Linked DNA regions of Anolis sagrei. The protein of the gene in region 1 interacts with the protein of each later gene in a biochemical or structural test. Links are inferred from orthologs where the notes say so. Each region holds a gene or a part of one and is shown on either strand. Other genes may lie near its edges.

Evidence for each region.
Region 2: the proteins of DTL (region 1) and KMT5A form a complex in vitro, tested with the Homo sapiens proteins (2 studies listed by BioGRID, with this or other methods). The link is inferred for Anolis sagrei from reciprocal best matches to the Homo sapiens genes DTL and KMT5A.

What each region holds. Positions count from the first base shown.
Region 1 is NC_090021.1:32,417,099-32,426,595, reverse strand, and holds the start of DTL (denticleless protein homolog), read right to left. Parts: upstream 4,062-9,497; 5' UTR 3,992-4,061; coding exon 3,946-3,991; intron 3,624-3,945; coding exon 3,498-3,623; intron 2,050-3,497; coding exon 1,951-2,049; intron 1,766-1,950; coding exon 1,704-1,765; intron 864-1,703; coding exon 743-863; intron 508-742; coding exon 442-507; intron 125-441; coding exon 9-124; intron 1-8. Other genes in the region: INTS7 (integrator complex subunit 7), read left to right, coding at 4,459-4,549, 5,851-5,980, 6,939-7,085, 7,961-8,098, 9,239-9,285. UniProt on the Homo sapiens protein: Substrate-specific adapter of a DCX (DDB1-CUL4-X-box) E3 ubiquitin-protein ligase complex required for cell cycle control, DNA damage response and translesion DNA synthesis.
Region 2 is NC_090034.1:41,651,854-41,661,139, reverse strand, and holds the start of KMT5A (N-lysine methyltransferase KMT5A), read left to right. Parts: upstream 1-4,861; 5' UTR 4,862-4,947; coding exon 4,948-5,277; intron 5,278-9,286. UniProt on the Homo sapiens protein: Protein-lysine N-methyltransferase that monomethylates both histones and non-histone proteins. Specifically monomethylates 'Lys-20' of histone H4 (H4K20me1).

The DNA.
Region 1 (9,497 bases):
ATCCTTACCACTGATGGAGCAAGGCCTCTTGAGTTCTGCTTCTTCTTCTTTAGTTTGGAGGGCGTCTGCTTGTCTGTTATGTTGTGGGCTCCACTTATTTGTTTCACCTGTCTGTAAAATCCATCTGGAAAGCGGTTTTCAAGAACAAATGTTAAAAGCAACCTCCACTGCATCATAAACTTAGGGCCCTTCCACAAAGTCCTATAACCCAGAATATCAAGGCAGAAAATCCCACAATATCCGCTTTGAACTGGGTTATTTGAGTCCACACTGCCATATATCCCAGTTCAAAGCAGATAATGTGGGATTTTATTCAGCTGTGTGGAAGGGGCTTTAGTTTCAGGATTATATTTGTATCTCAGCAGAAGGAAAAGCCTTACAAAGCTTTATGAAGGCTGGGGGAAGGAGAATGGAGATAAGATAAACAGATACTTAGTATACCTTTTTTATTACATCGAGTATCCCAAACCATGATGTTTCCATCTCTTCCTCCTGTACAGAACACCGCTGTGAAATATAAAAATAAGATGCTTCATTTTTTAAAAAAGGGATAAAGGTCAATACCAAATCCCTTTGAGGAACTCTCCTCTTCAAGAGATATGTCCAGGCCATTCTAATCCAGGCTCTTAGCCCTCCACACTCCCAGCTCTGTTTTGCAATTGGGTGATTTAAATTCCCATGTTCTCTTCTTAAAGGGGGATTGTCAATATGGCCAGATGATGATGATAACATTAACACTTACCACTCTCAAATTTGGAGAAAGCAACGGACTTCAGGCTGCACTGGTGCCCTTTGCACACCCCAAGAAGTTCACCAGTCCTTACATCCCACACTTTTGCCGTCTGATCTCCTGAAGCAGTTACCTGAACGATAAAAATATGAGTTAACTATTATTTGCAGTGAGTGACACCAAACTGTTGAATATCTTATCAGACTATAAACTTATTGAGACAGGGCCTTTTGAAGGGAAAGCCTGATATTTCATCAACTATGTACAGCAAGGGCCCCCTGGTGGCGCAGTGGGTTAAACCACTGAGCTGCTGAACTTGCTGACCGAAAGGTTGGCGGTTCCAGTGTGGGGAGCGGGGTGAGCTCCCACTGTTAGCCCCAGCTTCTGCCAATCTAGCAGTTTGAAAACATGCAAATGTGAGTAAATCAATAGGTATCGCTTCTGCAAGAAGGTAATGGCACTCCATGCAGTCATGCCGACCACAAGACTTTGGAGATGTCTATGGATAATGTCAGCTCTTCAGCTTAGAAATTGAGATGAGCATCACCTCCCAGAACTGGACACAATTAGACTTAATGTCAGGGGAAACCTTTACTATCTTATGTACAACAAAGTTTGAGAGAAGTGCTATATACATGTTTACTCCAGCAAATTCAGTGGGACCTACTCTCAGGTGTACATGAAGAAAGTAAACAAGCATATACATAGCTTGACTTGAGAGTACAAGTTAACAGATATACAGATGTGTCTTAGTACTTAGAATGCAAAATATATATACCTTATAGAATTAATGGAATCAGAAGTGTCTTGGAAGTAATTTTGTCTCAAGCTTTCTATTGCAAGGTCCAACAATTTCCCCCATAAATATGTTCCCATACTTGTGCCCATTGACTATAATGTTTTACTTTCCTAGAAATTTGGCTTCTTCTAAGCCCCGTTGAACATAAGGGCAAGATAATACTACTTTACTCACAATTTTGTGTTCTCTGGGCATCCAGGCAAGGTCAAAAACAGCATTTGAATGCGCTTGCCATTCTGAAGGGAAACAAAAAACAAAATCCACATTAATCATTAAGAGTTAAAAGAATATGGTCTATTTATTTACCTCTCTGTATGCTGTGAAATTCAATTTTTCAAGAATGCCAAGTAAGTTTAAGCACATCCTAAAAATGGCCCAGCATTTATCAGAACAATTTAGCACAATCAAGTGTTGTGTTTACCTCTAAAAATCTTTTTGCTGCTTGTTGATGCATGAGTATCATACAGCCTAACGATCCCCTCTTCATTTGCAACAGCAAGAATATGTTGTGCATTGGGAGCTGGAAAATAAATAAGCAAAATGTCTGTTTCTAAAAGTTTTACAAGTAACAGTAATGTATAACACTCTGCTAAAATTACTGCTTACCTACTTGACAAAAAAAACACAGAAGTAAAATGGAGATAAACCTACAGGACAGTATTAAGAGATCAAGACTAGATGTCAGTCTGTGATCTGCACGCATTCGCTGATACATCACGCAGTCCTAGACACTTGGGAAGTGTCTGAAAGGTGATCAAATACAAAAGCCAGCAGTGACCTTGTTTGCTGTATACTAATCTTGCTATGTATCAAATAATACGCTTTATTTATATTCCACCCTTCTCCCTGATTTATTATTTATGTATTTCCAACTTAATGGGAAGTTTAGTTTCACAATCCTTTGTTTCTTTATGAGCTCCCTGCAAATAACTTACTCCTATTCTTATCTCATTCGAGTTTTTAAACATTTTATTCTGAACATGTGGCCTTCCCACTGTCACTGTGATTGTGTTTATTGGAATGTTACTTTGTTATTGTATTCATATGTTTTTTAATGTAATTTTGATGCTGTTGCTTGTTGCTTATGTTTTGGTTTTATTTTGCTGTAATGTGTTGTCCGGGCTTGGCCTCATGTAAGCCTTCCCAAGTCCCCGTTGGGGAAGATGGTGGCGGGGTATAAATAAAGTTTATTATTATTATTTACATACACAGACAAAGAGTCAGTGCATTTATAATTATATATGATACACAAACACAAACAAAGGCAGAGGGTTCTCCGTTCATTTCCAGCTTCTGGAGGTGGTGCTCATCTCAGGCTCTGGGAAGGTGCTTTCTTCATTTTCAAGCCAAAGAGCCTGTGTTGTCACCTTCCTGGTTGTGTGGCCGGCAAGATTTCTTGGAGTGTCTCTGTCTTTTCCTGCCAAAGCAGTACCTATTTATCTACTCACATTTGCATGTTTTCGAACTGCTATGTTGGCAGGAACTGTCTTGTGGATTTGAACCTCCGACCTTCCAGTCAGCAATTCAGCCAACCGTCAGGTCAGAAGTTCAACAAAATGAGGGTTTAACCCTCCAAGGTCATTTACCCAGCCCTCACTCAGGGTCAACATAAGTCTGAAATGACGTGAAAGCACACCACAACAACAACCCTATCTCATCAGCCAAAAGCAGGCACACATTTCCCATTGAAATACTAACAAGTTTATATTTGTTAAAATTGTTCTTTTCAATTACTATACTGTTTTATGTGTTTTTTGCACTACACATAAGATATGTGCGGTGTGCATAGGAATTTATTCATATTTTTTTCAAATTATAATTTGTTCAACTGTTTGAGGGACTGTGACCTGGCCCTCTGTTTAAAAAGTTTGTGGACCCATTGCGCCACCGCGGACTACTGATCGTAATCTAAACACAAAAGGAAAGAACTACAAATGTTCACAAATTGGACAACCCCCTCCATTGTACCTGTTGAAAAGGTGCACCCGAAAGGAGGAACCGGGATTCCCATTTCTCCAAAGGACGGATGGTCATCTTCTCTAGTACAAGAATAGCACCCTAGAAGGTGCTGTAAGGAAAATCTTGGCAGCAGACCTACATAGAAACAATAATAAGGTGGGGAAAAACAATAATTAGCTGCTAATACCAAAGGTCACTTCTGCTTCAGTGTTTATGGGCCAGGCATGGGTAAACTTGGGCCCTCCCTCCAGGTGTTTTGGACTCCAACTCCCACCATTCCTAACAGCCTCAGGCCCCTTCCTTTTCCCCCTCAGCCGCTTAAGCGGCTGAGGGGGAAAAGGAAAGGGCCTGAGGCTGTTAGGAATGGTGGGAGTTGGAGTCCAAAACACCTGGAGGGCACTAAAATCCCCATGTGTTCCCCGCAATATATATTGCAAGCACAGAAATCCAAACCCACCATGCGGTCCACCTTGGCAGCGATGGACGAGGGAGCGGCACAGCATGGTAAACAGAGCTCAAGACCTCCTTGGCTCTCCGCGCGGCGCCAACTGAAACTCCCAGCCCATCCCCTAACTCCCGCCAACCCGAACTACGCGCCAAAGTCACTTCCTTGCTTCCCATTGGTTATAGCAGAAACACAAACCACGCCCCTGTTTTCCTATTGGTTCCCACTTTACCACCTTCCTCGCGAGACCACGCCCACCGCCCTTCAGCTTTCCATTGAAATGAGAACCGGCTTTCCTTGCAGTGGCGCATGCGCATCGACTCCTTAAAAACCGGACTGCGCGCATGCGCGCTAGGCACGTCAAGGCGCACGCGCGCCCGTTTGCACATGCGCGCTAGCTTCTGCTCGTGAGGGAGAGGGAAGGCGGTGCGCGCCGAGTTGTGTCCGAGTGGAAATGGAAATAATAAACTTTTTTCTCTCCCTCCCTTTCCTGTGAGGGGTTTTGTTTGTATACTACACAACAACATGGCCTCGGCTTCCAAATCCTTTCTTGCCGACGCCGGCTATGGCGAACAAGAACTGGATGCAAACTCCGCCCTCATGGAGCTGGATAAAGGTAAGAGGGAAAGCGAGGGATGTGCGCATGCGCCGAAGTCACAGTGATGGCCTTGTTTGACCGAAGCCCCGCCCCTTTATCCTGAGGCGGGGAATTTGAAAGGGAGAGGCGGGGTTTGTTTTCAGGAGAATTAGTGCTGTCTGACACGTCATGGCTCGAGGCGATGGCATCTTGGGAATTGTAGTTTTACAACCTTCACTGCCAAATTGTGCTGGTTCCTCACCAAACTATTTATTTACGACATTTATGTGCCGCCATGGCTATTCAAGTGGCGCCAAACTGTATTTATTTTATTTTTATTTATTTACAGTATTTGTATACCGCTTTTCTCGCCCCGAGGGGGGCTCAAAGCTGTTTACACATAAGCAATGGCAAAAATTCAATGCCAGTACAAACAATTACAATTATACACTACAATTAGACATAAATCAAATTAAAAAATCATAGAATCAAAGAGTTGGAAGAGACCTCATGGGCCATCCAGTCCAACCCCCTGCCAAGAAGCAGGAATATTGCATTCAAAGCATCCCTGACAGATGGCTATCCAGCCTCTGTTTAAAAGCTTCCAAAGAAGGAGCCTCCACCACACTCCGGGGCAGAGAGTTCCACTGCTGAACGGCTCTCACACTCAGGAAGTTCTTCCTAATGTTCAGAGATGGAATCTCCTTTCTTGTAGTTTGAAGCCATTGTTCCAGGTCCTAGTCTCCAGGGCAGCAGAAAACAAGCTTGCTCCGTCCCCCCTATGACTTTATCTCACATATTTCTACATGGCTATCATGTTTCTTCTCAGCCTTCTCTTCTTCAGGCTAAACATGCCCAGCTCTTTAAGCCACTCTTCATAGGGTTTGTTCTCCAGACCCTTGATCATTTTAGTTGCCCTACTCTGGACACATTCTCTGGAAGACCTGTATTTGCATATTTCTCCATAATCTTGGTGATAGGACCCAGGCCTAAACACAAAATTTGGCAGAGAAGTCTTTAAAAAACTTGTAAAACTACAACTCCAATGGTTCCATAGCATTCAACTACAGCAGTTGAACTGCATGAATTATCCAGTATTAATTCTCTGCCTTAGGCCCTTGAGTGGGGAAAGGCGGGATAAAAATTGCCTAAATTAATTAAATGCTCCTTTTGTCTCTCAGCCAAGTAATAACCAGAATTGACCCTGCTTAACTTCCAGCATCAGATGGCCTTGTTACATATTTCACCCAACATTCATAGTCTGCTTCATTTCATAGTCTGCTTCATTATCTCTGCTTCTATGCCTTTAGGTGCTGTGCTGATTTTACTTTCTGTTGCAGGTCTTCGATCTGGCAAACTTGGGGAGCAGTGTGAAGCTGTTGTCCGTTTTCCCAGACTCTTTCAGAAGTATCCATTCCCGATTCTAATTAACTCAGCATTTTTAAAACTTGCTGATGTTTTCAGAGTTGGGTAAGCTAAACTTGTATGTTCTGGATTTGTAGTATTGAAGCACTGAGTTGCTTTTAATTCAAAGCACTGCTGATAGCCATTTCTTGGGGCGTTGTGGTTAGAAGCAGGTTGACTAGGAAATGTTCTTCTGTATAGGTCTTGCCCACTCAGGGTGCTTCCATACAGTGCCAAAATGCGGATTAAAAGGGGAAAGATAAAAAGCTCTCAGAGCAGGTCCCCGCACAGATCGGTCCCAGGCTTTCTTCCCCTGCTGTCCTCACAGCCCTTCTTTTTGAAATGGGTTTCCCTCTGTTGCTGCGATTGAGCGCGCATTTAGCGGAAATGTCATCTCTCCCCCCCCCCCCCTTAACTTGTTCTCGCCCGGATTATAGCTATTGTATGGAAGAACCTTTAGTGATAGATCAAGTGGAAATTGTGTTGTGGTATTTTATGGAAACCACAGAAAAGCTGTGTAGGTACCCTCACCCTAGCATGGAAATTTCCTATTGAGGGATGCTTCTTCTTGCCTTTTGCCTGTTAATACCCATTTGATATATGGCAAAGTCACCCTTTTAAGAACTCTTACGTGCCATAACATCTGCTTGGAGTTTTCACTCTGCACTGGAATTTTAATTATGATTATTAATTATTAATTCATTTGCAAGAGCCAGTATGATTATGGCATTTTGAGTGGCGGTCTAGGTCTCAGGGAGGTTCGGGTTGGAATCCCACCTTGATCATAAAGTGGGATTTGGTGAAGCCATACTCTCTCAACCTCAGAGGAAAACAATAGCAAGTCTTGCTAAGGAAATCCCACTTATGTTTTATTTTTCCACTTTTTGGACTTTCATTCAGTTGTCATTGTGATGTAGTTGTGATTCTTTGGTACTGTTGATTTTCTATTGCTACCTGCCTCAGACTTTTTATAGAAATTGGAAACATAATGATTTTTAGTAATTAAAATATTATTTCAAAACAGAAACAACTTCCTGAGACTCTGTGTTTTGAAAGTTACTCAGCAGAGTGAGAAACACTTGGAGAAGATCTTGAATGTGGATGAGTTTGTGAAAAGAGTTTTCTCAGTTATTCACAGTAACGATCCAGTTGCACGCGCCATCACACTCAGGTATGCACACTTAACTCAGCAAGGATCTGCCCAGATGCTGCATTCTGGAGGGTGCCACTTATAGTGGGCAATGTGAACATATTAAGCAGGTATATGCTGAGAAAGATTATTAGTTTGTGTACTGTTTCCTCTGATTTGCAAATGATCTTCAGGGTATCTGATGGAGTCTTTCCCAGTTCTGTGGCATGGATTCATTTTTAATTGGATAAGTTAGGGATTGACTGAGCTGCAGGGAAAAGTGTATTCTATGACTGGATTATAATTGTTCCCCAAGACTTCAATTTCAACAGTGTGAAGAAATGGCAATAAAGTTGCCCAGAATGTATTTTATGTTTATGTTTAACAACTGAATAATATTGTATGATAACATTGAAAAGACACAGTAAAAAAGAACATTTTGATTTATGTTTAGGTGATACATTTTTGAACAGCTGAGTGTCTATTTTGTTACTTGAAAGAGAGGTTTTCAAGTTGGTTTGAGCACCTTTTTTATTCTGAACCAAGGCATACCTAAAGCAGGCTTTATGATAGCAGCAGTATTGTGATCAAAAATGGCACAATAATGTGAAAAGGGCAGGGAAAAAAGGCTTTTGACATAGCCTCTAGGTTTGGCTATTGGTTGTTTTGATAGTTTGACTGTTGATAGTTATGTTTTATGATGTTTTTATTTTAATTTTACTGTTTTATATTTTAATCTTTCTCTGACTGGGCTTTGTCCCCATGTAAGCCGCCTTTAGTCCCTTCGGGCAGATGGTGGCAGAATACAAAAATAAAGTTGTTGTTGTTGTTGGTGGAATGGCAAGATATTAAAAGTGTAGTTCATCATAAGCAGGTTCCTGAGCTCTTTCTTCATGTTCCTCTATTTTGTTCTCCAGGATGTTGGGTAGCATGGCATCCATAATTCCAGAAAGGAAAAATGCGCATCACAGTATTCGCCAGAGTCTGGATTCTCATGATAATGTAGAGGTTGAAGCTGCTATTTTTGCGGCAGCTAATTTTTCTGCTCAGTCCAAGTAAGTAGAATGCCTGCAGAACATCTGTTTTTCATGAGTGCAAAGGCAGTGACATTGAATACTTGCCATTTATATGGTGCTTTATCTACTAATATTAGCAATCCCTACGACAAATCTGTCAGTGTTTTATTGTAGAAGGAAGAAAACTGAGTCTGAACAATGATTGTTTACCTAGCATCATCAATATAGTGTGTATCAATATTGTGCTTGGTTTTATTTTTTGGTTAGTTGCTGCTAGATTTGAGGTAATAAATGGGATAAAGTTTAAGTAATAAATAAGTGATTGTCTTGTAGCAGACTTTGCTTCATTGATGGATAAAACTGATACAAAATCAATAATGAGCTCAGGAAAAGGACGGGATAAAAATCAGGGATTTTTTTCCTTCATTTTCCAGGCTGTTGCACTCATAAGAAGTTGAATTGTACTGTTAGTCTTTTATGCATTGCACAAAATTAGTTGCAACTAAAATATCTAGGCCCCTTCTAGACAGCTGTATAAAATCCCACATTATCTGCTTTGAACTGAGTTATATGGCACTGTGGACTCAAATGACCTAGTTCAACGCAGATATTGTAGATGATCTGCCTTGGTATTCTGGGTTATATGACTGTGTGGAAGGGCCCCTAGATGCATTCTCCTCTATATCTGCTTTCTCAGAATAAGGGTTTCTGGATTTTCAGTACAATTGGAGGCAAAAAATGTGATATTGTCTTTTTTAAGGTATGCTGAAATAATAGTGGTGCAGATCTTAAGTTACTATCTTCACCAAAACTTCTCAAAACTCTGAGCAGCCTTTTTAAAGAACCTACAGAGAAAAAGAGTAATGGGGACATAATTACATCATTGTATCATTTGGCTTAATATCTTGTTCATTTGGTCAGTATTAGCTGACAAAAGAGGACGATATAAAGATCTAGATTTCTCAGTTGTCGCCTCAATTTGTGTCCTCTGCTTGGGGTTTGCTTATTCTGTTCTCCCTGTGTTATTAAGCACAGTTGTGTATGATTACAGTGGCATAATCTGAACAAACTAACATTTTAATGAACATTAGTGGTCGCAGTGAGTCAGAAAAATCAGCTTCAGTCTTTTTGTAGTTCATTCAGTTCTATAACTAATTTCTTCTTCTCTACTATTGATAGAGATTTTGCCGGAGGAATATGTAACAAAATCAGTGAAATGATTCAAGGTACAGCCATTTACCTAATAATTTATTTTTAAATAATTTTCAGTTTGGCATTTGTACTTGTATTCATGCTTCTGATGTGGGGGTTCTTTCCTTTTTTAAAAATTAAAATCTTTTTGGCATTTTGACAGATATATCCCAATGAATTTGCAGCTCAGTTTGAAGACCTAGAGATTGCAATGTGTTGCTCTTTTTCTTTCTGTGGGCCTGGCATC
Region 2 (9,286 bases), on another chromosome or scaffold:
CAAATTTGGCTACAAGACACCTATTAACCCAAGGAATGACCATCACTAAAAAAAAATTAGTTTTTCATTTGGGAGTTGTAGTTGCTGTGATGTATACTTCACCTACAATCAAAGAGCATTCTGAACTCCACCAATGATGGAATTGAACCAATCTTCCCACACAGAAGTCCCATGACCAACAGAAAATACTGAAAGGGTTTGGTGGGCATTGATCTTGAGTTTTGGAGTTGTAGTTCACCTACCTCCAGAGAGCACTGTGGACTGAAACAATGATGGATTTGGACCAAACTTGGCACGAATATTCCATATGCCCAACTAGGAACACAGATGGAGCTTGGGGAAATAGACCTTGACATTTGGGTTGTAGGTGAACTATAAATCCCAGTAACTACAACTCCCAAATGTCAACTCCATCTGTGTTCTTGACAATTGTAGTTACTGGGATTGATAGTTCACCTACAATCAAAGAGCCTTCTGAACCCCACGAACGATAGAATTGGGGCAAACTTCCCACAGAGAACCCCTATGACCAATAGAAAATACTTAAAGCCATCCAGTCCAACTCCCCTCACCAGGGCAAGAAAACGTAATCAAATACTGTTTACCCACAAGCATCAAGAAATTACATATATTAGAAACCAACACTTCCCCATTACTTTAATTTTCAGATCACCAGACTGGGCCACAGCAACGCATGGCAGGGGACGGCTAGTTTGCAAACAAATTCATTTAAAAAGAACAGACAATGTGATTTTCTAGATGTGTTTTCTCATGTTGGTCTCTCATAGTTGAGGTCTACCTATGATGTCAATTACAGGCTTCTCTCATCTTTTTAAGTGGGAGAACTTGTACATTTCGGTTTATGAACCCACGCGATCTCTTCGATCATCTGGAGAGGCCCTGCTCTCGCTCCCGCCCCCTTTGCAGGCGCGATTGGTGGGGACGAGGGGAGGGCTTTCTCTATGGTTGCCCCCCCAACTCTGGAACTCTCTACCTAAAGATATCAGGCAAGCCCCCACTTTGGCAGTCTTTAGGAGGAGCTTGAAAAGGTGGCTGTTCCAGTGTGCCTTCCCTGAATGAAGGAAATAATGCCTGATCTGACCAATCTCCTATACGTCCTCTAAAGCACTTTATCTATCCATTGGATTGACCTCCCCATACCACTTGTTAAAACCCCATACCTAGACATACCCTACTCTGTACACTCCCAGGGTTTTAAAAATGTTAATCTACATCTGGCCCGCCATAATGTTTTTAAATCTTTTTTGTGTTATTGCAATTGTATTATTTGTATTGTTTTATTTGCTTGCTTGTTTGTGGATGTATTGTTGTATTTGATGGGCTTGGCCTCATGTAAGCCGGCCTGAGTCCCTTCGGGGAGATGGTGGTGGGGTACAAATAAAGTTTTTTTTAAAATTATTATTATTATTATTATTACAATTGATATCTGACTAAATACTTTGTTCCCCACTGTAAAACCATACTTGTTTGTGGGACAGTGCCATTGTTTGTCCTTTAGAAGCACTTGAGAGGGAAAAGTCTTCCATATGATTTTGTTTTGTTTTCTATTTTATTTATTTTTATTTTCATTTGAGAAGAGAAAATACAGTTATATAGACATATATTATACATTTTGCACTCTTTTATTTACATTCACCCCTGTGCTCCCCTTCTCCATAGCCATCTCTCTTCCAAAAGTCCCACCAAAACATCAGTTCTTCATTTGGAGGTAAATTCCCATACTTGTTTTCCAATGATTTTTCTAGAAATTTTCTCCAGATACTTTCAAAGTCATTTTTTTACATAATCCCTTCTTTACTTTTAAGTTTGATGTTAGCTTATCGTTCAATGCCATTTTCCAGATTTCTTTATACCATTCATTAATCTGTATTTTCATTGCCCCCTTCCAATATTTTGCAATTAATAGTCTAGCTGCTGTTCATAACATGTCTATTATTTTTTCCCCTTATCTTTCCCATCCTCTTTATTAATTAAAAGTAATATTTCTACTGGATTCCTCCTAATTTTTATATCCATAATATTTTCTATTTCTGTTATAACCAATTCCCAAAACTCTTTTATATATTTGCAGTCCCACCACATATGCATGTAGGTTCCAATTTCTTGGCATCCTCGCCAACATTTTTCATTATTGTTCTTATTCATGTTTAACATTCTCGGTGTTAAATACCATTTCCAAATTAGTTTACAATAGTTTTCTTTTATTCTAATTGACATGTTTTGTAAGTGTCTTGCTTTCCATATCTCTTCCCATTCTTTTTCAGTTCTCATTGTTGCTACTCCCTCCTCCCATAATTCTCTTAATGGTAGTCTTTTCTCTCCCCCCCCCCCCATGTCTTTAATTAGTATTTTATATATTTTACTTGTTGTTCCTTTTAATTGCTCACTATTTTCTCTTTTCAATCCTTTTATTATGAACTAGCTGGCCCCTGCCACGCGTTGCTGTGGCCCACATGGGGGTTCTGTGTGGGAGGTTTGGCCCAATTCTATAGTTGGTGGGGTCCAGAATGCTCTGTGATTGTAGGTGAACTATAAATTACAGCAATTACAGCTCCCAAATGTCAAGATTCCATTTTCCCCAAACTCCACCAGTGTTCACACGCCCAAATGTGAACACTGGTGGATTTTGGAGAAAACAGACTTTGATATTTGGGAGTTGTAGTTGCTGGGATTTATAGTTCACCTACAAAATACTGTGTTTTCTGATGTTCTGTGGTGACCCCTCTGATACCCCCTCATGACCCCCCTAGGGGTCCCAACCCCCAGGTTGAGAAACGCTGCTCTTGATTGTAGGTGAACTATAAATCCCAGCAACAACTCCCAAATGTCAAGATTCCATTTTCCCCAAACTCCACCAGTGTTCACATTTGAACATATTGAGTATTCGTGTATATTTGGGTCCAGATCCATCATTGTTTGAGTCCACAGTGATCTCTGGGTGTAGGTGAACTACAACTCCAAAACCAAAGGACACTGCCCATCAAACCCTTCCAGTATTTTCTGTTGGTCATGGGAGAACTGTGTGCCAAGTTTGGCCCAATTCCATCGTTGGTGGGGTTCCGAATGCTCTTGATCAGTGATTCTCAACCTTCCTGATGCCTCGACCCCTTAATACAGTTCCTCATGTTGTGGTGACCCCCCAACCATAAACTTATCTTCGTTGCTACTTCATAACTGTGGTTTTGCTACTGATATTATAATTATATATTTTATATTACATGTAATATTACTAATAATATTACAATATAGTAATATTTAATACTGATATTGTACTATGCTAATAATATAATATATTGTATGTATATATATATCTCATAAGCCACTCTGAGTCCCCTTCAGGGTGAGAAGGGCGGCATAGGAATGTCGTAAATAAATAAATAAATAAATAATGTAAATATCTGAGAAGCGGGATGTATCGTCATTCACTGGACAAATTTGGCAGAAATACCCGATACGCCCACATTTGATTACTGGTAGGGTTGGATTGATTTTGTCATTTGGGAGTTGTAGTTGCTGGGATTATTAGTTCAGCTACAATCAAAGAGCATTCTGAACTACACCAACAATGGAATTGAACCAAACTTGGCACACAGAACTTGGTCTGGTGGGCATTGACCTTGAGTTTTGGAGTTGTACTTCACCTACATCCAGAGAGCACTGTGGATTCCAACAATGATGGATCTGGACCAAACTTGCCTTGAATACTCAATACGCCCAAATGTGAACACTGGTGGATTTTGGAGAAAACAGACTTTGATATTTGGGAGTTGTAGTTTCTGGGATTTATAGTTCACCTACAAAATACTGTTTTCTGATGTTCTGTGGTGACCCCTGACACCCCCTCATGACCCCCCCGTAGGGGTCCCAACCCCCAGGTTGAGAAATGCTGCTCTTGATTGTAGGTGAACTATAAATCCCAGCAACAACTCCCAAATGTCAAGATTCCATTTTCCCCAAACTCCACCAGTGTTCACATTTGGGCATATTGAGTATTTGTGTATATTTGGGTCCAGATCCATCATTGTTTGAGTCCACAGTGATCTCTGGGTGTAGGTGAACTACAACTCCCAAGCCAAAGGACACTGCCCACCAAACCCAGCCAGTATTTTCTGTTGGTGATGGGAGAACTGTGTGACAAGCTTGGTTCAATTCCATTGTTGGTAGGGTTCAGCATGCTATTTGATTGTAGGTGAACTATAAATCCCAGCAACTACAACTCCCAAATGTCAAGGTCTATTTCTCCCAGACTCCATCTGTTTTCATGTTTGGGCATATGTAATATGCCCAAATATGCCAAGCGTGGTCCAGATCCATCATTGTTTGAGTCCACAGCGCTCTCTGGATGTAGGTGAACTACAACTCCCAAACTCAAGGTCAATGCCCACCAAACCCTTACAGTATTTTCTGTTGGTCATGGGAGTTCTGTGTTCCAAGTTTGGTTCATTTTCATTGTTGGTGGAGTTCAGAATCCTCTTTGATTGTAGGTGAACTATACATCCCAGCAACTACAACTCCCAAATGACAAAATCATTTTTTTGGAGTGAAGGGCATACATTGGGTTGTTGTGTCTTGGGCCCAAATTTGATGACAATTTGTCCAGTGGTTTTGAGTTCTGTTAATCCCACAAACGAAGATTACATGTTTATTGATATAGATTAATAATATGAACTGTTTTATTATTAATAATAATAATAGGCACAATCCAAGCCCTCCCGACAGATGGCCAGACTTGGTGTGCCTGTGTTGTCGTTTTGGAAGGAGACTGACTGAGAGGGCTGAGTGTGTGAGAGAGGCCAGGGCGAGGAAGCCCTCTGGGCGGGAGGGGTTGGGCAATCGCGTGGCCGACGTCACAATGGCGGCGTCGTCGGTCGTCGAGGCGGCGAGGGCTGTGGGGCAGAGTGGGTGGGCAGGGGCTCGAGGGCGGCCATGAAGGCGAGCAGGGCCCCTCCGCGCCCCAGGCCCCCGGCCCCCGTGGCCCCTCCGGCCCCGGCCCTCCCCCCGGCGCCCCCCAGCATCGCCCTGGACGCCCCCCTCTCTCTCCCCGCAGGAGCCGGAGGAGGAGGAGGAGAAGGCAGGAGGAGGAGGAGGAGGAAGAGGAGGACGGCGGCGGCGGCGATGATGATGCCCAAGGGCCCCCAAGGCAGCGCCCAGGAGCAGGCGGGCCAGGCAGGGCCGGACTCAGGCCCAGCCGCCCCCTCCGCCGCAGACGCCGCCGAGAAGCCCTCCCGCGGGGCCGCCAAGCCCAGGCTCAACGGGGTAAGTGGGCTTCCCTTCTTTGGGGCCAGGGGGAGGGAGAAGCGCTGCGGAAGGAGGGCGGCCGGCCGGCAGGGGGCGCTCTCCCGTCCGCCTCCCTTCTCCCCCTCCTCAGCCATTCCGGCCTCCCCCGAAGCCACCCCTAGGGGGCCGCCGCCTGGAGTCCCACCCCCCCCCCCCCCGCCAGGCCACCAGCCAAACCCTCCCGACAGATGGCCACCCGCCTCCAGAGAAGGAGGCTCCGCCGCCTCTCTAGGCCAGGCGTCCTCAAACTCTTTGGGCCTTCAACTCCCAGTTGGCAATTGAACAAGTTCGTTAGGGCTTCTGGGAGTTGGAGGCTCAGACAGCTGGAGGGTGCTTTCTCTAGGCCTTCCGGACTTCCTTCCGCACAGCCCTCGAGCCCAGAATATCAAGGCACCGTAATCCCACCGTAATCCCTTTCTAATCATCATCATAATCAAACTTTCTTTTTTTTTTTTGGCGTAGCCAATTGTATTTTATTATTTTTTAAAAAGCATTCCCTTATATAGGTTCCCTGATAAATTATATCCCTAGCTTTTAGCAGTGGGACAACAATGTGCAAAAAGGAGTGTATAGAAATAGTCCTAAGAGGCACGCTGATGCTTGGAATTTAAGGCTGCACCCCCTTTGTTTAAGATATGCACAAAGTTTGGACTACTTTTCAGCTATAGCCTTTGGCCACCCCAATATTCCCTCATAAGGACTACATATTTACAGATCACCTTTTATATCCCGTCCTTTCTCAACCTCCGCAGAGGGACTCCGGACGGCTAACAAAGCGGCACCCCATGGCGCCCACATCAAAACATAAATATACAATTAAATAAAATATACAATTAAATAAAACTTTCTTTCTACCCCGCTACCATCTCCCCAAGGGACTCCGTGCGGCTTACATGAGGCCGAGCCCATAGAAGAACCATCGTAAAAGCAATAACAAAACATCAATACAAAACAATCAAAATAAATCTCACAAACAAAAAATAAACAGTAACAACAAGCATTTAAAAACCTATGGCTGGGCCAAAGATCGGAGCCAAAGCAGCAAAATCCATACTGGGGGTCAGAAATGGAAACGGTTTGGAATGACACAAAGCAGACACTGTCATTGTCATGTGTCTGCTTTCATAATTTTAAAGAACTTGTTTTAGTTTTAATTCTTGTTACATTTTAAGGTTTATATTGGAAAGTGTTTATTAAGTTAGTGTATTACTGATGTCATGGCCTATGGCTAGTACAATAAACCATTCATTCATACTATGGCTGGGCCGAATGTGAGAATAAAAAATAAAAAAATAATGCTGGGCATGAACAAGGTAGAATACTGGGATAGAATTTTTGGCAAGAGATGGGGCAAGCAAACAATCCTAAATCAATGATAAAGTGCATTTAGAGGACCTATTGCTGAGAGTATTTCCTTATTTTGGGAAGGCACACTGGAACAACCACGTTTTCAGGCTCCTCCTAAAGACTGCCAAAGTTGGGGCATGTTTGATGTCTTTGGGCAGTGAGTTCCAGAGTCAAGGGGCCACTACCGAGAAGGCCCTCTCCCTCACCCCCTTTGAGCCCCTGGTGGTTATAGCACGGAGCTGCTGAACTTGTTGACCGAAAGGTCGCAGGTTCAAATGTTAGCTATTAACCCCAGCTTCTTCCAACCTAGCAGTTCGAAAACATGCAAATGTGAGTAGATCAATATTTATTATTATTTATTTAGGGCTTTTATATCCCGTCCTTTCTCAACCTCCGCAGAGGACGGCTAACAAAGCGGCACCCCATGGCGCCCACATCAAAACATAAATATACAATTAACAATAATGTAATAATAACAATATAAAACAGTATAAACAGTATAAAACCGTCTAAACAACAATCCTATCTCATTAGGCCCACACTTCCCTTTGAAATACTATAAATTTATATTTGTTAAAATTGTTCATCATTTTAATTATTGTATTGTTTTTAAGTGTTTTTTGCATTACAAATAAGACATTTGCAGTGTTCATAGGAATTCATTCATGCTTTTTTCAAATTATAATCCGGCCCTCCAACAGTTTGAGGGGCTGTGACCTGGCCCTCTGTTTAAAAATTTGAGGAACCCTGGTCTAGAACATTGCCATGCAGCCCGAAAAACCTACAACAACCCAATTTCCTGCCTTGATATTCAGAGGCATACGGCTGTGTGGAAGGGCCCAAGATCTGCTTGGGATTAGGTTATCTGAGGCCCCTTCCACACAGCTGAATTAAACCCCCCACGTTATCTGCTTTGAACTGGGATATATGGCAGGGTAGACTCAGATAACCCAGGGCCCATCCAGACAGCCATATAACCCAGAATATCAAGGCAGGAAATCCCACAAGATCTGCTTTGAACTGGGGCCCCTTCCACCCAGCTAAATAAAGTCCCACATTATCTGCTTTGAACTGGAATATATGGCAGGGTGGACTCAGATAACCCACTTCAAAGTAGATATTGTGAGATTTTCTGTCATGATATTCTGGGTTATATGGCTGTATGGAAGGGCCCTAAGTTATCTGAGTCCACACTGCCATATATCCCAGTTCAAAGCAGATAATGTGGGGTTTTATTCAGCTGTGTGGAAGGAGCCCCAGTTCAAAGCAGATATTGTGGGGGTTTCTGCCTTGAAATTCTGGGTCTTATGGCTATGTAGGAGCCCTTCCACCCAGCCCTATATCCCAAAATATCAAGGCAGAAAATCCCACAATATCTGCTTTGAACTGGGTTATCTGAGTCCATACACAGATAATGTGGGATTTCCTGCCTTGATATTCTTTGGATATAGACAGGCCCTATATTTCAGCAACTGATCCCAGGTTTTCTGTTTATCCCAGATTATCTAGCTGTGCGAACTCATATAATCCAGTTCAAAGCAGATAATGTGGGATTTTATTCAGATGTGTGGAAGGGGCCTTAGTCCACACTACCATTTATTTATTTATTTATTTATTTATTTATTTAAAACATTTATATTCCGCTGTTCTCACCCCAAAGGGGACTGAGGGCGGAGCACAGCATATACGCAGCAAACATTCAATGCTGGGACACAAATTCACATACAATACATAAACATTAAAAAACATTTATCAAAATATTAAAATACACCATTTAAAAACGTCCTAGTTATCCCCGTCAAATCTAATTGGCCTGGTCATCTTTCCTATTGCCGCTTTATTGCCCTGTCCCGAAAGCTTGGTCCCACAGCCAAGTTTTTACCATCCTTCTAAAGGACAGGAGGGAGGGGGCCATCCTGATTTCACCAGGAAGGGAGTTCCAGAGCCGGGGAGCAATCACCGAGAAGGCCCTGTCTCTCGTCCCCACCAATCGCGCCTGTGACAATGGCGGGACAGAAAGCAGGGCCTCCCCGGAGGATCTTAATCTCCGCGATGGTTTATAGGGGGAGATGCGTTCGGACAGGTAATTTGGGCTGAGACCGTTTGTCAGATTTGTGTTGTCCAAGGCTTTCATGGCCAGAATCGCTGGGTTGCTGTGAGTTTTCCAGGCTGTCTGGCCATGTTCCAGAAGCATTCTCTCCTGATGTTGGTGAAGCTGGGGGATACCTGCTCAGACCCATGACCTTTGACCTGTGGGGTCCGCAAGGTTCCATTCTATCCCCCATGCTTTTCAATGTCTACATGAAACCGCTGGGTGAGGTTATCCTGAGTTTTGGAGTTGGGTGCCATCTGTACTCAGATGACACCCAACTTTACTACTCATTTCCACCGAATTCCAAGGAAGCCTCCCAGACCCTGAACCAGTGTCTGATGGCTGTGATGGACTGGATGAGGGCTAACAGATTGAAGCTTAATCCAGACAAGACAGAGGTCCTCCTGGTCAGTTGCGGGGCCGACCGTGGTATTGGGTGGCAACCTGTGCTCCATGGGGTTGCACTCCCCCTGAAGGCGCAGGTTCGTAGCTTGGGGGTCCTCCTGGACTCAACGCCGTCGCTTGATGCTCAGGTGTCAGCGGTGGCCA